Pelodiscus sinensis: one gene and its partners. The protein of the gene in region 3 binds, or shares a complex with, the protein of the main gene of each other region. Links are inferred from orthologs where the notes say so. Each region holds a gene or a part of one and is shown on either strand. Other genes may lie near its edges. The genes, in order: INSC, NUMA1, GPSM2 and FRMPD4.

Region 1 (7,953 bases), on a different chromosome or scaffold from region 3:
ATAGTAGAGCGCTGTGTAGCAGGCCCCTTAATTGTTGCTGTCAGGATGCAGCTATGCCTCGGTTTCTTCACTGGTCAGTGGCTTCCTTTTAGATGACTAAAGACAAGACTATGCAGCACTTTAAAGACAAATAAGATGGTTTAGTAGGGGATGAGCTTTTGTGGGCCAGACCCACTTCCTCAGATCAACTTGTTCCTTCCTAAGTGGAGCACTTTGCATTTGTCTTTATTAAACTTTATCCTGCTTACCTCAGACCATTTCTCTATCAGCTCCTTGAGTATTCTAGGAAACATTTCATCAGGCCTTCGTCACTTGTAGTAATCTAACTTTTCTAAGTGATTTTTAACTTGTTCTTTTTTTATTTTATCTTCTAAACCTACCCCCTTCCCACTAGCATTCACTATGTTAGGCATTTCTTCATCAGACTTCTTGGTGAAGACTGAAACAAAGAAGTCATTAAGCATCTCTGCCTTTTCCATGTTTCCTATTACTGTTCCTTCCTCCTCATTGAGCAATGGGCCTACTGTGTCCTTGGTCTTCCTCGTGCTTCTAATATATTTATAGAATGTCTTCTTGTTTCCCTTTATGCCTGTAACTAGTTTGAGCTCTTTTTTTTCCCCTTGCCTTTCCACAAGGGTCATCTAGTCTATCTCCTGGCCAAGATACAGGTGGGGTTGTATCTAAACCATTCAAAACAGATGGCCTCTTTAGCTTCTACGACCTCCCTAGGTAGTCTGGTCCATTGTCTTTGTTATCACAGTTACATTTTTTCCCCTGAGATTTAATCTAAATCTTCTATGATGTAATTTGCACCTATTGTCTTTTGATCTGCCCTCTGTGGCAAGAGAGAACAACATTTCTCCATCATTTTTATAGCAGCCTTTCAAGCATTTGAAGACTGCTATCACATCCCTCCTTAATCCTCTCTTTTCCAAACTAAACATACTGAAGCTCCTTCAGTCTTTGCTCATATGGCTGACATTCCATTCCTTTGATCATCTTGATTCATCAAGTCCAGCTTCAGACTTAACTGCTTCATTCTTCCCTCTCCCCGTCCATTGCTATTTACTATATTGCTTGCAAGGCCTTCTCTTAGGCCTCTCCATCCTCCTCCTCTCCTTTTGTCTCAGTTGGGAGTACTGCCTCTGGGCCTTCCTCCTATACTTCAGTCACTGAGAGAGCTCTGTCGGCAAGCTGCTGCTCTCTCCCACACTGGGAAATAGCTGCGCCTTGTATCCCACTTCCCAGTAGGCCTTTCCACTCACTGCTACATTCCCATCAGCCTCTTTGGGAATTACAACCCACAGAATGGGTCAGTCCTCAGGCACAGACAGTAACAGCAGTGTTTGGCTTTGGACACATCTGTACTGTGCAGTACACCCTGTTATAGGACACCAGCATATATACCTGCATCAGGAAAAATGTTATTTTCTTCATGTTTGCCAGATTCTGAAGCCAGTTTTCAAAAGTGATGTAGGATGAATAGCAGAATATGGAATACTATGACAGATATTGTTGTAAATGACACTCTGTCCATTTAAAAATTAACAGTTTTACCTCACTCACACCCATCACCTGATTGACTCTGGAAGAATATGCACTTGGCCATGGTCAGCTGGAAGACCAGTCAGTACTATTTCCAAAGTATTCAAAGAAACAGAGAGAGCAACATAGAGAACCAAATTTGAATCACTGCACTCTGCCAAAAGTGAATGATTACCTAGTCTTCCAACTGCTGTTACTACAGGTTGGACCTCCCTTAGCAACCTTGGGACTGGACAGGTCCATAATGAGGGAATTTAGATTGGGGAGGTCAATTCTGGCCCCTTGCTGCCAGTCTCCACACTGCCCAGGGTGGAGCGTCAGACTCCCAGCCACCAGCCCCAGCCGCTGGCCCTGGCAACACCTCCAGCTCTGGCCCCAGCTGCTGGGCCCAGCCACACTCTCAGTACCGGCACCAACCGTGGCTACCAGCCTTGGCAACACTCCCAGTCCTGAATGTGCTCCCAACCCCGATTATACTCCAGGCCCCAGCCACCAACCTGGCTCTGCTCCCAGCTACCAGCCACTCTGCCACCAGACTCCTGGCCGGCCCCTGCTCCCAGCTTCTGGGGCTCTCTGTTACACCCTAAAAGCAATGACTCTAATAGAATGTGGCATACAAGAAAATTCCCATCTAGGACCTAATTTGGAAAATTCCATGTCTGCTTCCCAATTTTAATGAAGGCAGTGAGCTCAGAAATTTTAAGAAAGTTAGTAAAGCCATGTGTAGCACTCAGGATTTGTCCCCAGGTAACTATTCAGTCTCTTTTATTCCCCTCACAACTACACACAAACAAATGATAGACAACAGTTACCTTAAATGCCAAATGTTAATTTTATATCACTATAGATATAATCTGACATCATCTGTAGAAATGCGCTTCTGCATGTTTATCAAGTAAGGAAGGGAGCGAGAGGCGTAACTGTATTTAAAAAATACATTTGTTTTTGTTCCTTTTAAAACAACTAAATGATACCATATGTGGAAATTACATGTTTCCAACATTAAATGCATTTAGACAGACACACCCAATACTGTTTTTTTAAAGCAGTTTAGTCTCAAGGAAATAAGTCCTACATATAATTAGACAAGTCAATATACATTGAACAATATTCTTTTTTTTTTTCTAACTTACCAACCTTCTCTTAGTACTAAACCATATCTTTGCAGACCATTAATCTAGTAAATTACAGGTTTTGGTTAAAACCAACTCATTTTTGTTTCCCAGATATTTAAGGTCTTCAGTCTCTTCCTTACAAAGATTTCTTGCAGTAGAAGTCACATATCATTTCAGTTCTTAAAGTTTCCCCATTTTTAGCTCTATTTACTCACGATTTATCTCTCCTTTGCACATAGAATGGGATCATTCACTCAAAATACGCTTTCTTCAATTAAGTTAGTCAGAACAGAACAAAAACCAGCGCAATGCCTTTCACAGCCACATGGCTTTCACGTCACTGTCTTCATCCTCTCTCTGAGCTACCAGCTCTGTGATCTCTCTTCTTCTGCCTGCATCACACTACAGCTCACAATCAGCAAATCATTTAAAGAAATAGTAACTTCCCTGGAGGGCTGAGCTACACTCTCAGTTTCTCAGGTTCAAATTCATTGAAACCAGCAGTGTAAATGTTATGGTTTTAATAAAGTTACACTTTTACAAATTAATAAAGCATATTCATATTAACTTCTTTATCTTCTAATGGTTTTTATTTACCTAGTTATAACTCCAAGGTTTGACATTAGCACGCGCTAGGTTTCTGGTTACATGGATGTTGAAATGACCCTGGTCGCATATTTGGTCATTGTCTAAGGTAGTGGAATGTGGCTACAAAGACAAAAGGTTTTGGAAGATAGAGCTCTGAACTTCCGGGTGAAGCTGTACCTACCTGATGCTTACAGCAGGTTCTCGTTGTTATGTAATAATTAGAAAAGGCTAACAGACATTTAATTAAATAAAAGCTCTGTCTTAAAAAGGAAAAAAAAACAATTGCTGCAAAGGAACTTGGAATAAGTTCCATACATTTGTGTTGTTTGACTCTTCTCCTTCTGATCTAGGCAGGAGACTGAAAGTCTAGATGCACCTAGAAATGAAAAAAGAATTCAGAAAAAATATTTAAATTTACTGACACTTCAGAAAAACTTTGGCTGAAAGCTTTTGGACAAATTTTATTCATATTTTATTTTATCTGATTTGCTCAACCCTGCTTTACAAGCATCAGAGCTATTCCACCTGCTAAACATTTTCAACAATGTTGGTGGGAACAATTTTTTTAAAACATACTTTTTGAAGAATTAAAATTGGCCTGAATAAGAATTAACAATTGTTGGAACAAGCTATAAAATAAAAGCATGGAAATGATATTAAAATACAAAGCAGATTTCTATAGCTGAGCTTTCCTTGGAGGCGGAGGCTCGCGCTCTCTCTCTCGAATTCTTTCTGGTAAAAAGAGTGCATTGTAGCAGCTACTGTGACATACATTCACTTCAGCTTCTTTCAGACAAAGATGATGCCTCAGAGCCTTTCCCATCAATCAAGATTTTTGCCAGTCTGCAAATGTTCTATAGGTTTTAAAGGTTCCAAGGTCCTTCCTGCTTTAAAGATAAAGGAATTCTTCACTCCTCAAACACTGCAATGACTCTGAGGATATTAGAAATGAGTGATTGTGAGGAGGTGTAATTATGGCTTCATGTGAATGGGACCATTCAGAGAGTTTCCACTAAGGCAGGGGTGTCCAAACTTTTTTCAAAGAGGGCCAGATTTGAAGAAGTGAACATGCGTGAGGGCCGTCCCCGCACCCTCAGCCCCAAGGCGGAGGGCCCGCGGGGTCGGAGGCAGGCGGAGAGCGCAGGACACGGCGGCCCGGGGGCAGGGCGAACCCGCAGCCGAGCGGGGGAGCGGGGCTGCGGACGTGCCCTACAGGGCAGGCTCTAGGACTGCGGAGGCCATGGGCGGCGGCAGCGTGGCCGGAAGCGGCCGCTGGGCGCGCCAGTTCAAAAGAGCGCCGGGGAGCCAGGAGAGGGGGAGGAAGCGGGGGCCGTATTAAACCAGAACACGGGCCGCAATTGGCCCGCGGGCCGGACTTTGGACATGCCTGCACTAAGGGAATGTCTACACTACCTGGGTATTTCAAAATAAGTTATTTTGGAAAAATAACTCCCGAAATAACTATTTCAAAATAGCACATCCACACTACAGGGGAGCCTCGAAATTAGTCTAAGGCAGGCTCCCCTAATGTGGACATGCTACCTCAGTTTGGAGGCCCAGGAGGGCCTGGGGAGGACTTATTTCGAAATAGCAGCAGTGGAGCGTCCATACCACCACTATTTTGAAATAGCTACTTTAAAATAAGCATTAATCATCATGAAATGCAGGTTTATTTTGAAATAAAAAGTCCATTATTTCAAAATAATTTTAAAATAACAGGCTTGCTGTGTGGGCGCTCACCTTGTTATTTCAAAATAGACATGCCCTATGTGATCATTTCACAGTAGCTATAGGCCCTTAGAGGTCTAGCATATCATTAACAAATACTCAAGACCTCAAACTGGTCTAATACCTGTTTGGGTAATGATATTGCCATTATCACATTAATTAGTATTTATTATTATTAAATAGCATCCCAAGTATATTCCCCCATTCTCCCACTGAGTCTCACTATAATATAAAATAAGATCATAGAATACTAGGACTGGAAGGGACCTCGAGAGGTCATCGAGTCCAGTCCCCTGCCCTCATGGCAGGACCAAATACTGTCTAGACCATCCCTGATAGACATTTATCTAACCTACTCTTAAATATCTCCACAGATGAAGATTCCACAACCTCCCTGGGCAATTTATTCCAGTGTTTGACCACCCTGACAGTTAGGAACTTTTTCCTAATGTCCAACCTAAACCTCCCTTGCTGCAGTTTAAGCCCATTGCTTCTTGTTCTATCCTCAGAGGCCAAGATGAACAAGTTTTCTCCCTCTCCTCCTTATGACACCCTTTTATATACTTGAAGACTGCTATCTTGTCCCCCCGCAATCTTCTCTTTTCTAAACTAAACAAACCCAGTTCCTTCAGCCTTCCCTCATAGGTCATGTTTTCTAGACCTTTAATCATTCTTGTTGCTCTTCTATGGACCCTCTCCAATTTTTCCACATCTTTCTTGAAATGCGGTGCCCAGAATTGGACACAATACTTCAACTGAGGCCTAACCAGCACAGAGTAGAGCGGAAGAATGACTTCTCGTGTCTTGCTCACAACACACCTGTTAATACATCCCAGAATCATGTTTGCTTTCTTTGCAACAGAATCACACTGCTGACTCATATTTAACTTGTGGTCCACTATAACCCTTAGATCCCTTTCTGCCGTACTCCTTTCCAGACCGTCGCTTCCCATTCTGTATGTGTGAAACTGATTGTTCCTTCCTAAGTGGAGCACTTTGCATTTGTCTTTATTAAACTTCATCCTATTTATCTCAGATCATTTCTCCAATTTGTCCAAGTCATTTTGAATTATGACCCTATCCTCCAGATTAGTCGCAATCCCTCCCAGCTTAGTATCATCTGCAAACTTAATAAGCGTACTTTCTATACCAATATCTAAATCGTTGATGAAGATATTGAACAGAGCCGGTCCCAAAACAGACCCCTGCGGAACCCCACTTGTTATGCCTTTCCAGCAGGATTGTGAATCATTAATAACTACTCTCTGAGTACGGTTATCCAGCCAGTTATGTACCCACCTTATAGTAGCACCATCTAAGTTGTATTTACCTAGTTTATTGATAAGAATAGCATGCGAGACCGTATCAAACGCCTTACTAAAGTCTAGGTATACCACATCCACTGCTTCTCCCTTATCCACAAGACTTGTTATCCTATTAAAGAAAGCTATCAGATTGGTTTGACATGATTGGTTCTTTACAAATCCATGCTGGCTGTTCCCTATCACCTTGCTACTTTCCAAGTGTTTACAGATGATTTCCTTAATTGCTTGCTCCATTATCTTCCCTGGCACAGAAGTTAAACTAACTGGTCTGTAGTTTCCTGGGTTGTTCTTATTTCCCTTTTTATAGATGGGCACTGTATTTGTCCTTTTCCAGTACTCCGAAATCTCTTCTGTCTCCCATGATTTTCCAAAGATGATTGCTAGAGGCTCAGATACCTCCTCTATCAGCTCCTTGAGTATTTTAGGATGCATTTCATCAGGCCCTGGTGACTTGCAAGCATCCAACTTTTCTAGGTGATTTTTAACTTGTTCTTTTTTATTTTACCTTCTAAAATTACCCCCTTTCCACTAGCATTCACTGTGTTAGGCATTCCTACAGACTTCTCGGTAAAGACCGAAACAAAGAAGTCATTGAGCATCTCTGCCATTTCCAAGTTTCCTGTTACTGTTTCTCCCTCTTCACTGACTTGTGGGCCTACCCTCTCCTTGGTCTTCCTCTTGCTTCTAATGTATTTATAAAAAGTCTTCTTGTTTCCCTTTATTCCCATAGCTAGTTTGAGCTCATTCTGTGCCTTTGCCTTTCTAATCTTGCCCCTGCGCCTTTCTAATCTTGCCCCTGCATTCCTGTGCTGTTTGCCTATATTCATCCTTTGTAATTTGTCCTACTTTCCATTTTTTATATGACTCCTTTTTTATTTTTAGATCATTCAACATCTCGTGGTTAAGCCAAGGTGGTCTTTTGCCATATTTTCTATCTTTCCAACACATCGGAATAGCTTGCTTTTGGGCCCTTAACAATGTCCCTTTGAAAAACTGCCAACTCTCCTCAGTTGTTTTTCCTCTCAGTCTCTTACCAATCAGCTCTCTGAATTTACCAAAATCCGCCTTCCCAAAATCCATTGTTTCTATTTTGCTGTTCTCCCTTCTACCCTTCCTTAGAATTGTGAACTCTTTGATTTCATGATCACTTTCACCCAACCTGACTTCCACTTTTAAATTCTCAACCAGTTCCTCCCTATTTGTTAGGATCAAATCTAGAACAGCTTTCTCTCTGAAATAAAAAGTTGTCTCCAGTGCAGTCCAAGAACTTATTGGATAGTCTGTGCCCCGCAGTGTTATTTTCCCAATATATATCTGGATAGTTGAAATCCCCCATCACCACCAAATCTTGGGCTTTGGATGATTTTGTTAGTTGTTTAAAAAAAAGCCTCATCCACTTCTTCCACCTGGGTAAGTGGCCTGTAGTAGACTCCTAGCATGACATCACCTTGGTTTTTAATCCCTTTTAGCCTAACCCAGAGACTCTCAACATTTCTGTTTCCTATGCCCACCTCCACCTCACTCCAAATGTGTTCATTTTTAATGTATAAGGCAACACCTCCTCCCTTTTTTCCCTGTCTATCCTTCCTGAGCAAGCTGGACCCTTCTATACAAACATTCCAATCATGTGTATTATCCCACCAAATTTCTTT
Region 2 (7,167 bases), on a different chromosome or scaffold from region 3:
GGGAGAGGGGGAGAATCACTCAAAATAATGCTTGAGGTGTTTCCTGACAGAGGTACAGGCAAGTAGTTTGCCAAGTAATTAAAATCATGCTAGGAAGAGAGACAACAGTCCCCTTCTCAGGGACTGTTTGGCATCTCAGACATGCTCACAATCTGGAGAAAGGGTGAGGGGCCAAAAGTACAGGAGTGTCAGGTGCACGACAGGTGCACCTTCCGTGGTGGAGTGGCTCAAAGCAAGGACAGCTTACTGGACAGATTAAATTGGAGCCATTCAAGAAAACAGAGGAGCCTCTCAGACCATGAAGTTGCACAGGAGAAGTGTGGATAACATCTGTCCATTCCTGTGCATGGAGCTACTCCAGCAAACTCATGCTCAACAACACTCACACCCTCCTCGCAGTCCACACTTGCAGAATGACACAGACCAAGCCAACCCGCAGCCTCTGCCACGTCTCTGCCAAGCGCACTCCACAAGCTTTATCCGGCTAGGCACAGACCACAGAACGGGGTATTTTCAGCCAGCTTTTGCAGATGTTGGGGGGGAAATCCCCTGAAAACGCAGTTGGCTGCCAGGCAGGCGGGTAGGAGTAAAACTGATTGCCCCTTGCTGGCAGGGCATAGCTGCCTGGCAGGGAAATGACAGCAGGAAGTTTCCCTGCCAGCCATGGGTGGAAGGGCAGGCACTTGTCCAAGGTTGACACCAGGGACTGCAGTGTCTTGGGGGCGCCTGCAGGTCAGGACGGGAGCAGTTCAGCTCCTCAAGCACGGTCCTGAGAGGAGCACAGAAGAGACAGGCTGCAGGGACCCAGCTGTCTGGGGACAGGTAACCCCCGAAGGCCACGCACCCCTTTAGCCCCCTCTCAACACCATCCTCTTAGCCACCCCAAACCACCCCCCCAACTCCCTCATCCCACAGTTCCCCCGTCATCACCCCGCCCCACAAATCACCGCCCCGCAACTCCCTCATCCCACAGTTCCCCCATCATCACCCCGCCCCCCAAATCACCGCCCCCCAACTCCCCCATCCCGCAGTTCCCCCGTCATACCCCGCCCCCCAAATCACCGCCCCCCAACTCCCCCATCCCGCAGTTCCCCCGTCATACCCCGCCCCCCAAATCACCGCCCCCCAACTCCCCCATCCCGCAGTTCCGTCATCACCCCGCCCCCAAATCACCACCCCCCAACTCCGCCATCCCGCAGTTCCCCCATCACCCTGCCCCCAACTCCCCATCCCGCAGTTCCCCCATCATCACCCCGCCCCCCAAATCACCGCCCCCCAACTCCGCCATCCCGCAGTTCCCCCATCACCCTGCCCCCAACTCCCCATCCCGCAGTTCCCCCATCATCACCCTGCCCCCCAAATCACCACCCCCCCAACTCCTCCATCCCGCACTTCCCCCCCATCACCCCGCCCCCCAAATCACCACCCCCCAACTCCCCCATTCCACACTTCCCCCCCATCACCCCACCTCCCAAATCACCGCCCCCCCAACTCCCCCATCCCGCAGTTCCCCCATCACCCTGCCCCCAACTCCCCATCCCGCAGTTCCCCCATCATCACCCTGCCCCCCAAATCACCACCCCCCCAACTCCTCCATCCCGCACTTCCCCCCCATCACCCCGCCCCCCAAATCACCCCCCCCCCAACTCCACCATTCCACACTTCCCCCCCATCACCCCACCTCCCAAATCACCGCCCCCCCAACTCCTCCATCCCGCACTTCCCCCCCATCACCCCGCCCCCCAAATCACCACCCCCCCAACTCCACCATTCCACACTTCCCCCCCATCACCCCACCTCCCAAATCACCGCCCCCCCAACTCCCCCATCCCGCAGTTCCCCCGTCATCACCCCGCCCCCCAAATCACCACCCCTCCAAGTCCCCCATCCCGCACTTCCCCCCCATCACCCCGCCCCCCAAATCACCGCCCCGCAACTCCCTCATCCCACAGTTCCCCCTCATCACCCCGCCCCCAAATCACCGCCCCCCAACTCCCCCATCCCACACTTCCCCCCATCACCCCGCCCCCCAAATCACCACCCCCCAACTCCCCCATCCCACACTTCCCCCCATCACTCCGCCCCCCAAATCACCGCCCCCCCAACTGCCCCATCCCGCAGTTCCCCCGTCATCACCCCGCCCCCCAAATCACCACCCCTCCAAGTCCCCCATTCCACACTTCCCCCCCATCACCCCACCTCCCAAATCACCGCCCCCCCAACTCCCCCATCCCGCAGTTCCCCCGTCATCACCCCGCCCCCCAAATCACCACCCCTCCAAGTCCCCCATCCCGCACTTCCCCCCATCACCCCGCCCCCCAAATCACCGCCCCCCAACTCCCCCATCCCACACTTCCCCCCATCACCCCGCCCCCCAAATCATCGCCCCCCCAACTCCCCCATCCCGCAGTTCCCCCGTCATCACCCCGCCCCCCAAATCACCGCCCCCCCAACTCCCCCATCCCGCAGTTCCCCCGTCATCACCCCGCCCCCCAAATCACCACCCCTCCAAGTCCCCCATCCCGCACTTCCCCCCCATCACCCCGCCCCCCAAATCACCACCCCCCCAACTCCCCCATCCCGCAGTTCCCCCATCATCACCCTGCCCCCCAAATCACCGCCCCCCCAACTCCCCCATCCCGCAGTTCCCCCATCATCACCCCGCCCCCCAAATCACCGCCCCCCCAACTCCCCCATCCCGCAGTTCCCCCGTCATCACCCCGCCCCCCAAATCACCACCCCTCCAAGTCCCCCATCCCGCACTTCCCCCCCATCACCCCGCCCCCCAAATCACTGCCCCCCAACTCCCCCATCCCGCAGTTCCCCCCCTCACCCCGCCCCCGCTCCCCCATCCCGAGCTCCTCCTCCCCCAGTGGGGCGAGCGCCCCCGCGGCGCGGCCCCGGCCCCCGTTACCGTATTTTACCGTATTGCCCGAAGCGGCGCGGCCCAGTCCCGCAGCTTCCCCCCGCGCGGCCCCGCGGCCCTCACCGATTCAAACAGCTGCGCCGCCCCCCATTCCCTCCTCCCTATTGGCTGCAGGCCGGGCGCGCGTCAGCCCGCGCCGATCACGTGAGGGGAGGAACTACAACTCCCAGGAGCCCATGGGCGGTGAGGCCCGAGTGGATCCCGCGAGAGGTGAGGGAACTCTCGCCACCAGGCCCCCTGGGAAATGTGGTTCCCAAAGACCTCCCGGCAACTACGTTTCCCAGCGCGCCTTGCGGAGTGTGGGCGGGGTGGAATTTTTGCTGTGATGCTGGTTACCATAGCGACCCCGCGAGTTCCAGATAGGGGGGCAGAGAGGAGCAGAGATGGTGAGTGTGAAAATGTTTGCACTGAGTGTGAAAAGAGGGGCCAGGGGCTGGTGGATGTGCAAATCTGTGCAGGGCTCTGGTGGGTGTGAAAGGAGAAGTCTGGAACCAGTGGGTGTGTAAATCTGTGCAGGGCTCTGGTGGGTGTGAAAGGAGAAGTCTGGAACCAGTGGGTGTGCAAATCTGTGCAGGGCTCTGGTGGGTGTGAAAGGAGAAGTCTGGAACCAGTGGGTGTGCAAATCTGTGCAGGGCTCTGGTGAGTGTGAAAGGAGAAGTCTGGAACCAGTGGGTGTGCAAATCTGTGCAGGGCTCTGGTGGGTGTGAAAGGAGAAGTCTGGAACCAGTGGGTGTGCAAATCTGTGCAGAGCTCTGGTGGGTGTGAAAGGAGAAGTCTGGAACCAGTGGGTGTGCAAATCTGTGCAGGGCTCTGGTGAGTGTGAAAGGAGAAGTCTGGAACCAGTGGGTGTGCAAATCTGTGCAGGGCTCTGGTGAGTGTGAAAGGAGAAGTCTGGAACCAGTGGGTGTGCAAATCTGTGCAGGGCTCTGGTGGGGGTGAAAGGAGAAGTCTGGAACCAGTGGGTGTGCAAATCTGTGCAGGGCTCTGGTGGGGGTGAAAGGAGAAGTCTGGAACCAGTGGGTGTGCAAATCTGTGCAGGGCTCTGGTGAGTGTGAAAGGAGAAGTCTGGAACCAGTGGGTGTGCAAATCTGTGCAGGGCTCTGGTGAGTGTGAAAGGAGAAGTCTGGAACCAGTAGGTGTGTAAATCTGTGCAGGGCTCTAGTGAGTGTGAAAAGAGAAGTCTGGAACCAGTGGGTGTGCAAATCTGTGCAGGGCTCTGGTGGGTGTGAAAGGAGAAGTCTGGAACCAGTGGGTGTGCAAATCTGTGCAGGGCTCTGGTGGGTGTGAAAGGAGAAGTCTGGAACCAGTGGGTGTGCAAATCTGTGCAGGGCTCTGGTGAGTGTGAAAGGAGATGCCTGGAACCAGTGGGTGTGCAAATCTGTGCAGGGCTCTGGTGGGTGTGAAAGGAGAAGTCTGGAACCAGTAGGTGTGTAAATCTGTACAGGGCTCTGGTGCGGGTGAAAGGAGATGCCTGGAACCAGTGGGTGTGCAAATCTGTGCAGGGCTCTAGTGGGTGTGAAAGGAGAAGTCTGGAACCAGTGGGTATGCAAATCTGTGCAGAGCTCTGGTGGGTGTGAAATGAGATGCCTGGAACCAGTGGGTGTGCAAATCTGTGCAGGGTTCTGGTGGGTGTGAAAAGAGAAGTCTGGAGACAGGGATGGATTAACTCTTTTGGGGCCCAGGGCTATTAGATTTTGTGGGTCTCCCTAGGTTCTAGGTGGGGCCAAAAATGAAGGGTTCATAGTGCAAGAGGGGGCTCCAAGTGGGGGCAGAGGGTTGGGGCACAGGAGGGGGTGAGGGCTCTGTGGTAGAGCTGGGGATAAGGGATTTGGGATGCAGAAGGAGGCTCCAGGCTGGGGCCAAGGGGTTTTGGAGTGCAGGAACAGACTCAGCTCAAGAGGTGGGGATGGGAATGCAGGGTCTGGGCGAGAGTTAGGTGTGGAAGGTGGAGGTGGGGGTGGACAGGAATTTGTGCCGGGGCAGGAGGTGAGGTTCAGGGTCTGGGTGGAGTTAGGGTGCAGGAGGGGGATTAAGATAGGAGGTGGGGTGTGGGGTCTGGGATGGGAATTAGGGTGCAGGAGGAGCTCAGAGCTGGGGTGGGAGTTGGGATGCAGGAGAGGGGCTCCGGGGATAGGGATGTGGGGTCTGGGTGGGAGTTAGGATGCAGTAGAGGGCTCAGGGCCAGGCCAGGTAGGGAGTTGGGATGCAAGGTACTTCCCTGCGGCAGCTCCCCTCTAGTGGAGCAGGCCCTGGGGAGGGGAGGGAGCAGGTGGCTCTATGCGCTGCCCTGTGCTTGCCAGCAACCCCCCCTCCTCCTCCCCGCAGCTCCCATTGGTTGTGGATTTCTGCTAATAGAAGCTATGGGGGCAGAGCCTTCAGGTGAGGCAAGCATACAGATGGCACTTCCTGGTGCTTGCTGCTTCTGCCTAGCGGGGGCAGCAGCACATAGGCTGTGTCCAGACTCCATGCCTCCGTCGACGGAGGCATGTAGATTAGCCAGCTCGGAAGAGGGAAATGAAGCCGCGATTAAAATAATCGCGGCTTCATTTAAATTTAAATGGCTGCCCCGATCTGCCGATCAGCTGTTTGTCGGCAGATCGGGAGAGTCTGGACGCGATGCCCCGACAAAGAAGCCTTTCTTCATCGACACAGGTAAGCCTCGTGAAACCAGGTTTACCTGTGTCGATGAAGAAAGGCTTCTTTGTCGGGGCATCGCGTCCAGACTCTCCCGATCTGCCGACAAACAGCTGATCGGCAGATCGGGGCAGCCATTTAAATTTAAATGAAGCCGCGATTATTTTAATCGCGGCTTCATTTCCCTCTTCCGAGCTGGCTAATCTACATGCCTCCGTCGACGGAGGCATGGAGTCGGGACACAGCCATAGAGCCACTGGGGGCCAGAACACTGCAGCCCCTACTGACTGTGAAAATCTTTGCAAGTGTGTGTGTGAGAGAAGGGGACCAGGACTAGTAGGCATGAAAATCTGTGCAAGGCTCTGGTGAATGTGAACAAAGATGTCTGGAGCTAGTGGGCGTCAAAATCTTCAGGACACTAGTGAGTTTGAAAAGTGGGCTCTGAGGCTAGTGGGTGTGAAAATCTGTGCAGGACACTGGAGTGTGTGTGTGAAAATCCAGGTAATTGCTTGATGAGTGTGAAAGGCGATGCCAGAACAAAGTGTGTGTGAAAAGCCAGGTTCTGAGCATACTAATTATTCAAGGGCATGCCATGTGAAATCACAGTGCTGTAAATATAAATCTATGATGTCACAGAGCGTGCAGCTCTGTGAACTGGGTGTGCAACTCTGTGCAGGCAGCAGCTTGGGTGTGCAGCTGCAGTCAACTTCCCGGTTCCCTGGGCCTCACTTCTGATGGAGAGAGGTAACTAGTGGTGCCCCCAAGGGTCCGTACAGGGACCAATCCTATTTAACCTATTTAAATGGTCTGGTGAAATGGGTAAACAGTGAGGTGGCAAAATTTGCAAAGGTTACTAAACTGCTCAAGATACTTAAGACCAAAGAAGACTGGCAAGAGCTTTAAAAGGATCTCTCAAAACTATGATTGGGCAATAAAATGGCAAATGAATTTTAATGTTGATCGATACCAATGCACATTGGAAAAATAATCCCAACTACACATATAAAGTGATGGGACTAATTTAGCTACAACTACTCAGGAGAGAGATCTTGGAGTCATTGTGGATAGTTCTCTGAAATCATCCACACAGTGTGCAGCAGCCATCAAAAAAGCAAACAGGAAATTGTGCAGACCAGGACTTTCACAGGGTCCAAAAAAGAACTAGATACATTCTGGAGGTTAGGTCCATCAATGGTTATTAGCCAGGACGGGCAGGGAGGGTGTCCCTGGCCTCTGTTTGTCAGAGTCTAGAAATGGGTGACAGGGGAGAGATCTCTTGGTGATTCCCTGTTCTGTTCCCTCCCTCTGGGACATCTGGCATTGGCCACTGTCAGCAGACAGGACACTGGGCTAGATGGACCCTTGGTCTGACCCAGTGTGGTCATTCTTATGTTCTTATGATGAAGCAGCATCCATTTCTGGCATGACTGAACGGAAAGCATGGCAGCTCTTCCCATAACTAGGCAAGACAGGTTCTTATATGGACCTCCTCAGTCCTCACCCTGGTATCAGAGTACCTTAAAGTGCTGGTAGCCTACAAATCTCCCAGGCAATGGACAGTATGGTGGAGCCCTGTGCAGATACAAAACTGGTATCTGGTCTGCAAA
Region 3 (7,306 bases):
CATGTAAACTGTCCTTGCGTCTACACTGCCATGTCGACAAAGCAGCTTGCTTTGTCGACAGAACTGAATGTAGTGTAGACTCTCTTTGTCGACAGAAGCTTTGCCGACAGTATCTGTCGACAAAACTTCTGTCGACAAAACCCTGTAGTCTAGACGTACCCTACGACTGGGCCCTGAGTACTTACTAACCCCAAGTTAGACTGATTTATGGATGGATGGAAGGCTCAGCATGCACTGTAAACGTACCTTAGATGTGTGTAAAAGTACCTTAGGCGTTCATATGGGTTTAGATTTTCTAAGATTAAAGGGATTCAGGCAATGTGGCGTTTGTTCCAATGGGAGAAATTTCATTTTTGGAGACAAGTCTACACAGAAGAAAAAATAACGTGGCAGTGAGTCTTAGCATGTAAGTCAACTTATTCAGGCTCACTGTGCAAGCTAAAAATAGCAATATAGACGTTCAGTCTCAGCATCCAGACTCCAGCCCAGGGATGAGCAATAAAATGGCAGCAATTCACCAGGGTTAGCTCCTGGTGGGCTGCTGCCACTATATTTATCTGCACCACTGCAGGTATGGGCAATCGCAGATCCCATTGGCTGGGAACAGCAATCCATGGCCAACAGGAGTTGTATCTGTGGAGGTGCAGATAAATACAGTAGAGCGTGGGGCCATCCAGGGGCTAACCCTGGCAGACCTGATCACCAAACTCCCCATTCCCCAAGAGATCTCTGCCCTATGGTTTTCCTTGGGACTCTCCAGAAATTGTATAGAAAATTGCACAAGGTTAACAAGGTTGCTTCACTGGCTCTTGAGAAAAGAACAACCCTTAGTGTAGGGAAAAAAGGAGCAGGAGACTTTTAAGAGGTTAGAACAAGTACTAGTGACAGCACCCGCGCTAGCTCATCCACAAAGGGAACTCCGTTCTACTTAGAATTACCTACTGCTCTTGTTAGTTTGGGGACTGTCTTATTACAGAAGAAAGGGGGAAATCTGAGGCCGCTCGCCCAGGCTTCCAAAACACCGAGTGAGGGAGAGGCACAGTACAACCTATGTGAGCGAGAGGGGCTGGCACTGGCATGCTCCCTGACTCAGTGGGAGTATCTAACAGGGACAGCTCCATCGCAGTCAGGACTTGCTACACACCAGTTAAATTAGTCATATCAGGATGCATAAATGAAGACCATATGTCATCTCCAAGATTAGATGGATGAACACTGAGTATAATAAATCAGGAAATAACATCAGAGAAGGTTCTGCATATGGGAATACTACCATATTAGGGCTGTCAATTAACGCATGTTAATGCCTGCGATTAACACAGGGCAGAATTAACACATTACAAAAATTAACATGCATTAATTGCAGGTGCTAGCGTGGAGCCCGGGTTCAGCTGTACTGCTGCTGCCCCTTTGAAACGTCGCAACAGAGTTTCAAAAGGGCAGCAGTGCAGGGAGCCCAGGGTCTGCTGGGGACTACAGCTGATCCTGGGCTCCCCACGGTGCTGCCACTTTGAACACTGGGCTCCCTGCAGCGTTTCAAAATGGCAACAGCGCATGGAGCCCAGGGTAAGTGGGGGAGTCCCCAGCTGATCCCAGGCTCCAGGCAGCACTGCTTCTTTGAAACACTGGGAGGAGCCTCATGCTGGGCTCCCTAAAATGTTTTAAAGTGGCAGCATCATGTAGAGCCCGAGATCAGCGGTTCCACGGCACTGTCGCTTTGAAATGCCGCATGTAGCCTGGGGACACCTGGTCTGGCCCAGGTTTCAAGCAGCACTGCTGTTTTCAAGTACCCCCTTCGTATCCCTTCCTGTCCCCCTCTTGATGCCTCTTTCTGATAGAGGCAGCAAAGGGGGAGGGGAGGAAGCAACCAGTCCCTCACATCACTACTGCAGAGAAATTAATTAGTTATTTCTTCTAGAGCAAGAGCCCTGCATGTTGCTCTGTGTGGAAAGGAATATCAGCGTGCTGGACTGGGATAAAATCCACAAGGAACAGTAGCTCTCATGCCCACAACCACTGGCACATGCATCCGTTTTGGGTTCACCACCCCTACCCCAAGAGCATCACACATCTCTTTGCATATATCACCCCCCTCAACTCATCACCTTTCCCTAACTGATCCCTCACAGCTTAGCACCCCACATGCAGAAAACCTCCATCTTCATTAATTTGTGCCCCCAACCAGTCAACGACCCGCTTCAGCCAGCCCCCACCTCCAGTATTCGACACCCCCGGCTCAGCACCCTCCCCTCCAGCCAGCCCCCACCTCCAGTATTCGACACCCCCGGCTCAGCCCCCACCCCTCCAGCCAGCCCCCACCTCCAGTATTCGACACCCCCGGCTCAGCCCCCACCCCTCCAGCCAGCCCCCACCTCCAGTATTCGACACCCCCGGCTCAGCCCCCACCCCTCCAGCCAGCCCCCACCTCCAGTATTCGACACCCCCGGCTCAGCCCCCACCCCTCCAGCCAGCCCCCACCTCCAGTATTCGACACCCCCTCCCTCCAGTCAGCTCGCACCCCCATCGTCTGCCCCTCCCCCAGCTCGCCCCCCCAGTAATCGATACCCCTCTCAGCGGCCGCTCCAGCTCAACCCCCCACACCTGCCCTCAGCGATACCCTGAGTCACCTACTGCCCCTTGGCGCCCCCAAAGCTGCTGCCTGCACAGTCGATACCCCAACTCTCCACGCGACACCTCACACTGCCCCAGCAGCGCCCCGAGCTGCCCACGTCTCACCCCTAGGGCCGCTCTGTCCGGGGCTGCTGGGCTCGGAGTGCGGCCCCGCCCGCCCCAGGCCTGGCCTGGCCTCGCCTCACCTCAGTACTGGGGTCGCCCGCAGCTGCCGGACTCCTCCTGGTCCGATCGCCCGTCTCGCACACCCCCGCAGCAACACCCCGCCCACCGCGCTACTGACCAACCCCACAGCGACACCCGCTGCAGCGCAAGAAGGGGGGGGAACCCCGATGCTGCCAACAGACGTTGCTCCACCCCCCCTGCGCACCCACTTCGAACTCGCCAATAGCAGGCGCCGCTTTCGCCGACGCTCTTACACCAATGTCGTTCCCCTCCCCCTGTGGCAAGGAAACCCAACGGCTCCGCCACTGTCGCGTTCTGCGCGTGCGTCAAGAGTTCCTTACCGTTTTCGTTCTGACGCCGGGCAGAGCTGGCCAATGGGAGGCCGGGCTTTGAGTGGGCTCTGGTCCTGTTCTAGGGCGGGAGGTCGCGTAGTCAGTGCGGTGGGGAGGGGAAGAGGTGCCTCGTGTGGGGCCGCCCGGGGAATGAGGGGGAGCCAGGAGGCAAGGGGGGAGGGGTGGTGCTTCCCGCAATGGAGGGAGGAGGGCTGAGTGGCAGGCCCCGTTCCTCAGTGGATTTGGGGGCGTGGTCATGCTCCACTCTAGCTGTGGGCGGGACAGTAAGGAGCTTGTCGGGGGGGGGGGGGGGCTTGTCCCTTTCCCCTGGGGAGGGAGATTTGCGGCAGGGCTGTTGCCTGCCGTACAGCGGCCACCTATCCCCATAGGCGGGGTTCTCCTTTCCTACTCTTAGTCCACCTCTCTGACCAGTTATCTACACTGACAGGTGCAGCTGCACTTGTGAAGGTGCCACTACCTATGTGGACAAGGCGAGCGTCTCCTGAGGGCTACTCCACCATCCTGAGCCCCAGTAGCTGTGGGAAGGAGAGAAGTGCTCCCCGCCTTGCCACCTGTTCTTCCCAGTTTTCCTTCAAGAGGTCAAGGATACCCCATGGTTGTCGGCCATATAATAGCTCAAAGGGCGAAAACCCGGTAGAGGCCTGGGGGACCTCCCGTATAGTGAACAAGAGGGCTGACAGGAACAGGTCCCAGGCTCTGGGGTCCAGCCCTCCAAATTTTCTCAGCATCCATTTCAAAGTACGATTAAAACGCTCCACCAGCCCGTCTGTTTGGGGGTGGTAGACTGTAGTCCAGAGCTTTTTCACCCCCAACAACTTGCACAACTCGGCCATTACTCAGCTGGACACGTTTGTCCCTTGGTCCGTTAGGATGTCTTGGGGTATCCCCACCCTCCAGAAGTCCAACCAGGTCCAGTGCTACCCTTTCAAAGGGTGTATCTACCACCGGCAAGGGGACTAGTGGAGCTTTGGGCACTCTTCTCCGCCCTCCCCCCCCCCCCAGGTGCACGTTGGCGCCTGTGCAATAAGGGAACGCCGATGTGTGTCGGATGTCATGCGGAGTACTGTGGGCAAGGCCCACGGCAGTGACCGGGTGGGGGATACGTGCAGTGCTAGCATGAGTAGTTGTGGGTCTCATGCTGAGGTTAGTGGAGCTGGCAGAGTGACCTACCCGCACTACTGTCCCTATTGCCCCCTATGGCAGCTCGAGCCCCACTAACTCCGCCCCACCCATGCGCCAGCTCTAGTGCCCAGGAGGGTTCCCCCGCTGGTCCCCCTTTTGATTATCTGCCCCGCATGTCGCATCCTGGAGCAGCGTGCCAGGTGCCTCCCTGGCCTGCACCTCAGACTCCAACTGCCCTGCACGTGCTAATGGCTCCCTCCGGGCACGGGCTGCCACAGGTTTGAAAATGCTGCAGAAACTGCCCTGCGAAGAGCAGAGCCGCTTTCTCTCTGTCCTGGTGCAGGGAAGTGGGGAGCATTGAGCTTGCCGGAATTAAAACGTGGGAAACACGTTTGCTCTCACTGGCCAGTTAGCTCAGTTGCTTACCGTGTGGTGCTAATAATGCCGAGGCCGCGAGTTCAGGCCCTGGCTCCTTTTGCTCGCCGTGCATTAGCTCCGCCAGGGCAAGAGAGATTTCCCCTTTCATTCCTGCCAGGCACAAGTGAGGGGAAGGAAGGATTTTCTTTTCCATTCCCCCCTCACCCCACCGGGCACATCATTGATACATTGCATATTTTTCCACATCCAATAATTAGCTTGTTGGTACTTTGCATATTGTTGGTACCAACAATAATTAGCTTGTTGGTACTTTTCCCAGGCCAAATAATTAGCATTCTCAGGTGGGAAACATTCAGCAAAGATAGCTATGTGATCTTCCCAAGTTCTCCTGCACTCCCATACCAGGTGCATTCCTACACTGTACCATCTTGAGCAAACAGCTAACTCTCTGAGAATAACAAAGGAATAATAAGAAGCAAAAAGCACAAATGGCTACCTAGAGCATCCAGGCCTGTAAGAAAATGCAGGCACAAAAGGAATGATTGTGGTACACCACCTAATTTCCTCGACCTCACAATCGTCTTCCGCATTTCCACTACCCCCCGCCAGGGGAGGAAGAATTTCCCTTTTCATTTCCCTGTGGAGACAGGTGCAAAGCCCATAGAACAAAAAGCACCATCCATAAACTCTCCAATCACCTCAATGCTATAATGCTAGTCTGCCATTTTCCTTTTCTTATTAGGATAGTGCTGAATATCCCTGCCTGTCACGCAGGAGACTGGGCCCCAATGGGGACAGCGCTGCTGCCGCCACCACCTTTTTGCACAGAGAAAAAGAAATGCCGCCTGCCTGGCCAGCAGGGTGGCCCTTCTCCTCTCAGTCTGGCAACCAGCACTTCCACCCCCTGCAAGGTGATTTTTACCTGTAGAGAGACAATGACCCCTCAAAGCCAGCAGCTTGGGCTTGCCCATGGTAAAACCTCACTGCGAGACATGCCCACCAAGCGCACCTGCTGCAGAAGGCAAAGGGAAAAACTATGGCTGAAGGCATGAAGACAATCGCCCATCCAAGGCGGGTGGTGATTGAGAGAGAAAAGCGGAGCAGCATCAGGCCAGTGTAGCGTCACAAGCAGTTGCTCACAATCGGCTCCCAGTAGCAGTTACTGACATATTAGTATGTCAGTTTCTGCTTTGCTCAGTTTTTGCTACCCATCCATTTATCCATTTATGGTTACAGAAGGAGCTAATCCTGATAGATGGGGGTTCACTGTGTCACACTTTTCTGCCTTTGCACCAGCAATTGGCCCAGAGGGGCCTTTCGCAGCCCCTGGTCCAGAGGGAGCTAATCCTGATAAATGGAGGTTCACTGTGTCAGAGTTGGCTGCCTGTGCACTTCCCCCCTCCCTCCCCTCCCGTTGTCCCAGGTCCCACACACTGCTGAGGTCCCTGGACCCAAGGCGGTGTTACCCCAGAGTCTCAGTAACAAGTAGAATCTTTTGAATTAATTTAGAATTTAGGATAAGGATCTGATCGAAGATATTAAGTGCTCTGGTTACCAGAAGGGAGATCCCCTGACACTGTATCTGTCACCAGTGATTTTTCCTCACAAGAAAACTCAGTCCAGATTAAAGTTAAACAACATGTTTTCCAGTCACTGATGACAATCGCCATTTTAAGTGTGCACCTTACCCAAATTCTGTACACAGTAATTGCACTATAAACATTACGAACAGATCAACATTATAACATTAGAGTCCCTCTAGCAGCAGCACTTCCAGGCATACCACGTGCCACTCCCAGCCCTGAGCCTCTCCCCCGACCCTCTCCCATCCAGTGGCTTTTATTATGAAAAAATACAAAGGTTTTGTTTTTCAACTCAAAACTGGTGTCTTTATTGATTGTACAGGAAAGGGAAGGATTGTGGTAGGAAAGGTACAGTGGGCCCAGGCCCCTAGTGGGGAGGTCCTAGGGAGAGTTACTGGGGTCTTTGAAAGAAACTCTCCCTCAGGACCTTCCAGATGAGCACCTCCACTTTATGGGCCTGGAGGATTGCAACTGTGCACGGCTGTTCAAACATCCTTCCTTCCTGGCTGGCCTCTGCCCCCCAGCCCTGTAGGAAGGCTCCCCATGCTGAACTGATATCCAACAGATCAGAAATTTTCAGGCGTGGTGAGCTTCCAAATCATGAGGTGACCTGCTTTTCCAGGGAGATGGTGGGTCTCATTTGTGTTTCCCATCGTGTGAGGGCTGGGGTGAGCCAGGCACACAACTCCAGGAACATCATCTTTCTCATATCAGAGTTCTGGAGCCACTGTTGGTCGTCCCACCGCTCCATCATTAGCCAGCCCTACCAGTAGGAACTGGTGTCTAGCCACCAGAAGCAGTGCTCCACAGTGGGGTGTGCCTGAAAGAGCTGCCCCAGACACGTTCTCTCACAGCTTGGGATCATGTTCCTGCAGGGCATGGAGGGCAGCCTGAAGAAACTGCAGCACAGTCAGGGGCTGTCACATGCCCAGAGGCAGCTCCAGCTCCATTGCAGGGAGTGCTGTGGTGTCCAAACATAGAGCAACCAAAGCTCACAGTGGAAATGCTTTGCAGTCCCTCAGAGGTAGGCAAGCAGAAGAAGAACCTAAGAAACAGATGTATGGGGGGGGGGGT
Region 4 (7,049 bases), on a different chromosome or scaffold from region 3:
AAACACTAGCTCAAGGGTGGTTTTCAGAAGGAAAAATTTCACCGTAAGCATAAAACCACTCTCAAATATCAGTTGAAGAAATCTCCTTCAATAGCTACTCTGGTATTTGGTGCTGGAAAACTGAAGCTCCAAAGAAGTTTCCCAGAAAGTTATCAAAGAATAAAGAAGAAAGCTTTGAAGGGAAAGGAGAGAGAGAGAAAGAGATGGAAATTTGCACATTTACACAAAATGCTGTCAAAACAAGCAAGATACAAATACACTGAAAAAAATAAAGAAATCATTTTATCTTCTTTCAGTTTTAAAATCACAGGCAAATATTTGCAGACCAAAACGTGATTTAAGTTGACAATGTAATTTTAACTAAGCCTGACCGTGCAAAATTAATTCTAAGATAGCGCAGTGCTAAGTTATGCCATAACATCCCCCACGCATCACTCACATTGCATTCAAAATCATACACATCAGATAACTTTAATTTTAGATGTGTATGCCAGTGGTCTTTAGGATTCCTTTAAAAATAACGGCAGATAAAATTATTCATAAGTGTGCAACTTGCCCAAATAAGTCTCAGAGAAAGCATTAAATAAAACACTTGAGGTAACACTGGATGATGTGTGAGTCTTGTGAGCAAACTGCTTCATTGTGCATTTTAAGTTTACAGTACTTTGTAGTAATGAACAATTATATTTTTTCCTTCAAATTATACAGTCTGTAAAAAAATCATCTGAGCACACGATTAATAGCTTTTTTAAAGCTCACTGCGGAGCTACTTCCTTCATTACCTGACCTCTCCTTATCTTGGCAGTCAAAATATATGGTATGTTGTCAGACAGATTCTAATCCTACTTCCATGGGATATGATTTGATGATAATGTTACTAAAAGACCAGATCACTAAATCAGCCCGCTGTTTCCAAAGACTGTCAAAACCACAACTAGAAAAAGCCCATTGCAGTCTTTCAGATATTACTTTACAAATCATAATATTTCTTAGGGTTTTTTCTTGTTTTGATTAGCAACAGCTGTAGTATGTTTTGGATAATAAACAGAGAAGCAGGGCCAATGTGAGGTGGGTGCTGTCACTTTCCCCCACATGGCCCTCTGCTTGATCATTGGCCCTGCTCCAGGCTGTATTTAATTTACTGGCGATTTAGACAATTTATTTTTATTACATATTAAAACAATAATGATCAAAAGTGCAAATTATATTAAAAATGCATATGTGACATTTGCTTTGTAGAAGTAAAATCTTCCTTACGCCATATACAAATAAGGTTGAAATATGTTCCTCCATTTTAAACCAAGCACCATAATGAATTCCGTAACATGAGCTGTGTAAAGTACTGTATAAAATACAGAGATATGCTCATGCGTCACACATAGTGGGCTAATGGTCATTTTGACAATTTTGAGTGTATTGATGTTAATGTGGTGAAACGTGGTCTTAGTTAAAGCTTTAAAGAGAGAGGGGGGAGCAGTAGCGTGGAGGGTTCAGCAGTAGCATGGAATTTTATGATTTAGAAAAAGATCAAATTAAAATGATATTTTCCCTTTCATTTTAAGTTACTAATATTTACTTGCGCATACATTCATATCAGAGAACAAATTGAAACTAAGTATCCAAACACTAGAAACAGTGACATATCTTGATCTATCTAAGATATGTCTACGGATTACATTGTTGTCCCAAGCCCACGGATGGATCTGGTTAAATTAGATTGTAATTTTATTCACTTAACGTACCTGGGAACACGTGGCAATAATCATTCTGTTCAGTTCAGCATTACTTCCTTCATCATTTGTACTTATTTGGGAGGGCTGCCATCAGCCCTCACTCTTCTCAACACGATTCTTTCAAGGGACCCTGTCAGTCTCCATGGTATGACGGGGGAGACTCAGGGAAAAGCAGAGGAAGTTGCCTTCCTGCAGTATCAGACTTTACACTACCCAACCCTACTTCCTCCAATTTTCTTAGGGAATGCCTTCCCGCACGACCCCTTCCATAGCTTGTTTACCTGTCTAGGGCACTTGCTAAACTCATCATCTGGCCTAACTTCCTTCCCTACCAGCTGTGGGGAAGGCACCTCCATGTGGCCAAGATAGAAGAGCAAGAAAGATTCCTTCCTAGCCCCCAAAGGAACAAGTGACTAGTGAAATGCCCATCCTTAACATACAAACCTGGCCTTATACTAATCCTACGGGTGGGTGTTGTTGGCCCTAGACAGAAAGAGTTCTTACCATGGTGCATGGTATAAAGATCCGCCCCCCTCTCTCCAGATTGTTGGGCTATTGTTTTTCCATACCTGTTCCTGCCTTGTCCTTTCCACCAGGCTCTGTCCAGGTGTGTTCTCTTTCCCCACTCATTACAATTCATTCCTTTGAGTGCTGCTCCCTAAGAAAGTTTCACCTTCTTTGTTTCTGCAGCCAGACAAAGACTCACGGCATCCAGTTGAAGTGAGCATATTTTCATGTAGGTGATGTACTCATCACCCACAGTGTCTTCCTTGTCTCCGGAACCTCCTACTGGCTGTTTGCCTCTCACTGCACCTCCCATGGTTTGGCCCATTAGCCAATTCGCTTAAAGCTCAATCACACGTGGCATAACAAAGGGTCCAACTAGAACTCAAAGGTGTGAAGTCCAAATAATAATTCTTCCACTCCTTTTCTTTTGGGTGACATTCAGTGTTCTCATTGACCCTCCCTCAGGTCCTCTCTCACAGGAGCCGTCATCTGCTTATGCAGTTGCATGTCCTGTTCTCAGGGGCTGGTAGGGGAACATAGCCCAAAGATCCTGCATTAAATACCTAAGACTGTTCCTTCAGACATGCTATTGTTTTCCTGGGCCGCTTCCTACCTGTAAGGTCCTTTGGCTGCTTCTCTGCAGCCTGTGTTTAACACAGCCTCCCTTTACTACTTAAACCTTGGGCTTCTCCCACCCCAGCTGACCTAATAAGTCTCCCACCTCCTGTGGGCTCCTATAAAATGCTTTTACTGACCTATCGGAGGGCCTCCCTCAAAGGAACTATGCTCGTTCTCCTTCCCACAGAAAAGTTTTGCTTTCTTTTTATTCTTCTCCCCTCCCACAAATTGAGTTCTCCACCCTGTACAGTCTTGTCCTAATCCCTTCTCAGACTGAGTCACTAATTAGCCTTAAATTGGCACATCCTTATTGGCTGGAAGCTAGCTGCTACGTCACAGGCAAGGTTGAGCCTTAAAGGGCCAGCCAGCCTGTGGCAATAAACTTAAAAACTGCACATTTCCATTTCTAGCAGGCATGTCAATCAGTGCACTCTTTACGTAAAGAATGTTGCTTTGTTCTTCGTGTTGTCTTTGCTAAGCTACCAGTAGAGTTACATTTACCTGAACTGACAGTCTTCACATAATAATACTTCATTTTAGACCTTGGAAAATAGGTTACAGAATATTTTTTATAATAAATGACAAAAGTTTAGGAAATATACGTTCTGCTTCAGCACTCCCACCAAGCCTATCATCAGTATCCTAGCAGTACATTATCTAAGTCCTGATGGTCCAGCTCTCTGAGATTAAAGCAATTACAATGCATTAGCAATATGTGCTGTAATTTTAGTTTTCCTCCTCCACTCTGTCAACCCTTGGATACAAAGAGAAACAATTTAGAGTTACTGTCAAAAATGGAATAAGAAAATGAGTAATATGGCAGTGTTATATCACTGGATAATAAGCGGATTTCATTCCTAATCAGTTTCTTCACCCATCACATCTTTTAATATGCTGCATTCTATCACTGCAATCACCTGGCTCCTACCTACCATGCATATCTACCAATCCCACCATGTTGCTTTGATTTTCAATTGCTCAGTCATTTATGCCAGCAGAGAGGTCAAAATAGTAATGCATGGGACCACAAGTAAAAGGCTTTAAAAACAAAAATGAAAGCTATCCTAAGGAGAAACAAAGAGGTGTATTTTTAAGTGCATTCACATGGATGCACCATTTTCTTTGATTTTCCTATATTGTCAACATCCAGGTTTATTAGAGACACAAGGTGGTGATGTAATATCTTTTACTGGATCAGCTTCTGCTGAAGAGACAGACAGGTTTTCGAGCTTACATAAACTTCTTCTTCAGGTCTGTCTGGCAACAAGACTGCATGAGAGCCAGATTTGGCATTTTATCGGAATGCCATTTTTAATACAAATGAGAAGTCCTGTGGCACCTTATATAGTATCATGAGTTTTCATGAGTAAAACTCATGATACTATATATATTTTTGTAAGTTTCTAAGGTGCCACAGGATTATTCGTTTTTAAAGTTACAGACTAACACAGATATCCCTCTGAGATTTTTAATATCAGTTCTCCCAAACAGGTGGGTTGTAACCTGAACTCAGTTCCATTTATGTACAGGCAGTCCCCGAGTTACGCGGATCCGACTTGCGTCGGATCCGCAGTTACGAACGGGGTTTTTCTCGCCCCGGAGGACGGGAGCAGCGGGACGCGCAGATGAGCCGCGGTCCCGCCTCCCGCGTACTCCGGGGCGAGAAAAGCTGCTCCGCGTCTCCCTGGTCAGCTGGGGGGGGAACCCCCCCCCAGCAGACCAGGGAGATGCTGAGCAAAGCCGCGGAGCACGCGGGCAGCGGGACAGCCAAGACGCGCCACGGCTGTCCCACTGCCAGCGTCATCCAAGGCTTTGCTCCCCGTCTCCCTGGTCTGCTGGAGACCAGCAGACCAGGGAGACGGGGAGCAAAGCCGCAGAGCACGCAGGCAGCGGGACCGCGGTGCGTCTCAGTCCGCCGCCCGCGTCTCCCAGGTCTGCTGTGGCGGGGGGGGAGGGAAGGGCACAGCTAGTGGGCGCTACGGGACCAACCAGGCAGTACCCCAGCTGCTCTGCCCCAGGCGTCCTGATTCAGCCGCTGCTCCTCCTGATTCAGCCCCATTCATTCGTCCTGATTCAGCCCCAGCTGCTCTGCCCCAGGTGTCCCCAAGTCAGCCGCTGCTGAAACTGACCAGCGCTGACTACAGGAAACCCGAGGCAGAGTTGCTCTGCCCCGGGCTTCCTGGAATCAGCCGCTGATCAGTTTCAGCAGTAGCTGACTTGGGGACGCCTGGGGTTCTTAAGTTGAATCTGTATGTAAGTCAGAACTGGCATCCAGATTCAGCCTGTTGAAACTGATCAGCAGCTGATTCCAGGAAGCCCGGGGCAGAGCAACTCTGCCTCGGGCTTCCTGTAGTCAGCCGCTGGTCACTTTCAGCAGCTGCTGAATCTGGTTGCCAGTTCTAACTTACATACAGATTCAACTTAAGAACAAACCTACAGTCCCTATCTTGTACGTAACCCGGGGACTGCCTGTATACTGAACAACAAAGACCATGACTAAATTCAAAATGCTCAGCTCAATGTTAAAGACACACCCAGAAGGTTACTAGTAGTGCAGTTTTCAATGCCTCTTATTTTAACAGGTACTACTACTCTGTGAAACTCATAAATTCCTACTGCTATTAAGGTATATGACACAGCTAGCTTTAGTTCACTTGTATTCAGTGGAAAGATTGAAAAACAAAGGCTCTGCTTAGAATTTTTGCTTTTCTTTTTCATGACCAATGCTTTGAGCTCATTTGTAGACATTTCCTATTCCATTGATTTTAAGATCAAAACTAAATAGAAAATTTAATAAAAATGTATCTATAACTCTTGAAGAACAGAGATTACTTAATTGTAATTGGAGTCCTTCAAGATGCTTGGTTCCTACGTGTGTTCCACATGTTGGGTATATGCCTACACTATATGCCCAAGTTCAGAGATTCTTCACAAGCAGTGTTTAATGGCCCACACATGCACCCTCTCTTTATATTCTAGACCAAGTGCATAAGAAGCAGCATAGGCCAACACCTCTCCAATTCCTCTTCTTAGCATGACTCCAACAGGATCCAAAGCAATGGGGTGGATAATGGAATACACATAGGCACTGCCCATCTGGAAGAATTTCTGGCCGCAGGTAAGTAAGCTCTATTTCTTCCTATTGAACTGTAGGCTTGATTACGGGCAGAAAGGTCCTGACTAGGCCCTTCAGGAATTTGTTGTTCAGTGAGTAAAAATTGAATGCCTATCTACTACATGAAGGAAGGCACTGAACACTGCTTGATGGGCTTGCAATAAGCAAAGGGAAAAAACCTGAATTCTTCAGTGACAGGAGATAACCAAAAATGATTGAAATATCTGCAGAGTCCGAGGAAGACGGTTTGGGTTATGGCCAGGCAAAGAAATGTCTCTGTTTTCTCCGTGGTGGCAGCCCAGATGCAATGTCATGGCCACCCAGTCTTCTCATACATGGATGATTGACTCCAAATAGGTCACTCCAGCAATGTGGTAAAGTTTGTGACTTTGTTCCTGTTCCATCTTTGAGCAGTACTTGTCAGTTGCATGCACAAGTCCACTGTGACCCTCACAAGGATTATAACTTTTGTTAGAGTGACTCTGGACCCAATTTCACTGCCTAAAGGCCTCGCTTTGTTCCATCCATTCACCAGACAAAAGACTGCATGGCTGGTCAGGACACCGGTCACTCCCTGAAGCAAGTGAGAAAAGTCACTCTGCCGTTCATGTAGTCCTTGTATGGGGAGTGGATGGATAGCTCAGAGCCAAGCCTATAGGCAGTGTAAATGAAGTCTGGCAAATGGCATCACATCGAGGCCATTTGGCCTAGTAGATACAGGTGTATTCTGACCGTAGTTTCTGGTTTCCAAGTAATATGTGATATCAGATTGCTCATTGATTGAAATCTTTCTATGGGGAGGAAAGTTCTTACTAAAATTGAGGGCCACAGTGGACTTTTGTGAAAACCCTGGGAGCTGTTGCTAGTCTAAAAGGAAAGACTCTGGTAGTGTTCTTGATCTATCAAGAACCAATTAAACTGTCCGTGGGATAAATTATTATCTACATCAAAATAGGCATCCTTTATTTTCACAGCCATAAACCACATTCCCTTACTGATGCTAGTTGTAACCATCCTAAATTTTGACTTCTGAATAAAGATGTTCAATTGTCAAAAGTCTAAACTGGACATCCACC

The links.
Region 1: the proteins of GPSM2 (region 3) and INSC are in contact, whole or in part, in a crystal structure (PDB 3RO3), measured with the Mus musculus proteins. The link is inferred for Pelodiscus sinensis from reciprocal best matches to the Homo sapiens genes GPSM2 and INSC. Residues at the interface, in NP_083798.2 of Mus musculus: Asn210, Tyr213, Leu214, Phe218, Arg242, Ser246, Asn247, Asn250, Ile253, Phe254, Tyr265, Gln283, Tyr286, Ser287, Asn290, Thr291, Thr293, Leu294, Arg323, Trp326, Ser327, Asn330; in XP_006507722.1 of Mus musculus: Val72, Asp73, Ser74, Val75, Arg77, Trp78, Met79, Asp81, Leu82, Lys83, Leu84, Met85, Thr86, Glu87.
Region 2: the proteins of GPSM2 (region 3) and NUMA1 are in contact, whole or in part, in a crystal structure (PDB 6HC2), measured with the Homo sapiens proteins. The link is inferred for Pelodiscus sinensis from reciprocal best matches to the Homo sapiens genes GPSM2 and NUMA1. Residues at the interface, in NP_001307967.1 of Homo sapiens: Ala28, Leu29, Glu32, Cys35, Lys36, Phe47, Lys59, Thr60, Ser62, Ala63, Ile64, Ser66, Gln67, Asn70, Ala71, Phe73, Asn110, Lys113, Tyr146, His153, Lys157, Pro164, Gln165, Arg203, Gly206, Asn207, Asn210, Tyr213, Leu214, Arg228; in NP_006176.2 of Homo sapiens: Ser1901, Phe1902, Tyr1903, Met1904, Gly1905, Thr1906, Cys1907, Gln1908, Asp1909, Glu1910, Pro1911, Glu1912, Leu1914, Asp1916, Trp1917, Asn1918, Arg1919, Ile1920, Ala1921, Leu1923.
Region 4: the proteins of GPSM2 (region 3) and FRMPD4 are in contact, whole or in part, in a crystal structure (PDB 4WND), measured with the Homo sapiens proteins. The link is inferred for Pelodiscus sinensis from reciprocal best matches to the Homo sapiens genes GPSM2 and FRMPD4. Residues at the interface, in NP_001307967.1 of Homo sapiens: Leu25, Ala28, Leu29, Glu32, Asp57, Lys59, Thr60, Ser62, Ala63, Ile64, Ser66, Gln67, Asn70, Phe73, Tyr74, His85, Asp88, Ala92, Gly100, Lys103, Asn107, Asn110, Thr111, Lys113, His128, Arg143, Tyr146, Asn147, Asn150, His153; in NP_055543.2 of Homo sapiens: Gln988, Leu989, Leu990, His991, Ser992, His994, Met995, Glu996, Met997, Glu998, Pro999, Glu1000, Thr1001, Met1002, Glu1003, Thr1004, Lys1005, Ser1006, Val1007, Thr1008, Asp1009, Tyr1010, Phe1011, Ser1012.

What each region holds. Positions count from the first base shown.
Region 1 is NC_134714.1:109,568,626-109,576,578, reverse strand, and holds the start of INSC (protein inscuteable homolog), read right to left. Parts: upstream 3,011-7,953; 5' UTR 2,876-3,010; intron 1-2,875. UniProt on the Homo sapiens protein: May function as an adapter linking the Par3 complex to the GPSM1/GPSM2 complex. Involved in spindle orientation during mitosis. May regulate cell proliferation and differentiation in the developing nervous system.
Region 2 is NC_134711.1:325,289,904-325,297,070, reverse strand, and holds the start of NUMA1 (nuclear mitotic apparatus protein 1), read right to left. Parts: upstream 3,013-7,167; 5' UTR 2,925-3,012; intron 1-2,924. UniProt on the Homo sapiens protein: Microtubule (MT)-binding protein that plays a role in the formation and maintenance of the spindle poles and the alignement and the segregation of chromosomes during mitotic cell division.
Region 3 is NC_134719.1:43,946,061-43,953,366, reverse strand, and holds the start of GPSM2 (G-protein-signaling modulator 2), read right to left. Parts: upstream 3,010-7,306; 5' UTR 2,817-3,009; exon of another isoform or gene 2,737-2,816; intron 366-2,736; exon of another isoform or gene 247-365; intron 1-246. UniProt on the Homo sapiens protein: Plays an important role in mitotic spindle pole organization via its interaction with NUMA1. Required for cortical dynein-dynactin complex recruitment during metaphase. Plays a role in metaphase spindle orientation.
Region 4 is NC_134711.1:214,148,781-214,155,829, forward strand, and holds the start of FRMPD4 (FERM and PDZ domain-containing protein 4), read right to left. Parts: upstream 3,008-7,049; 5' UTR 2,374-3,007; coding exon 2,303-2,373; intron 1-2,302. UniProt on the Homo sapiens protein: Positive regulator of dendritic spine morphogenesis and density. Required for the maintenance of excitatory synaptic transmission. Binds phosphatidylinositol 4,5-bisphosphate.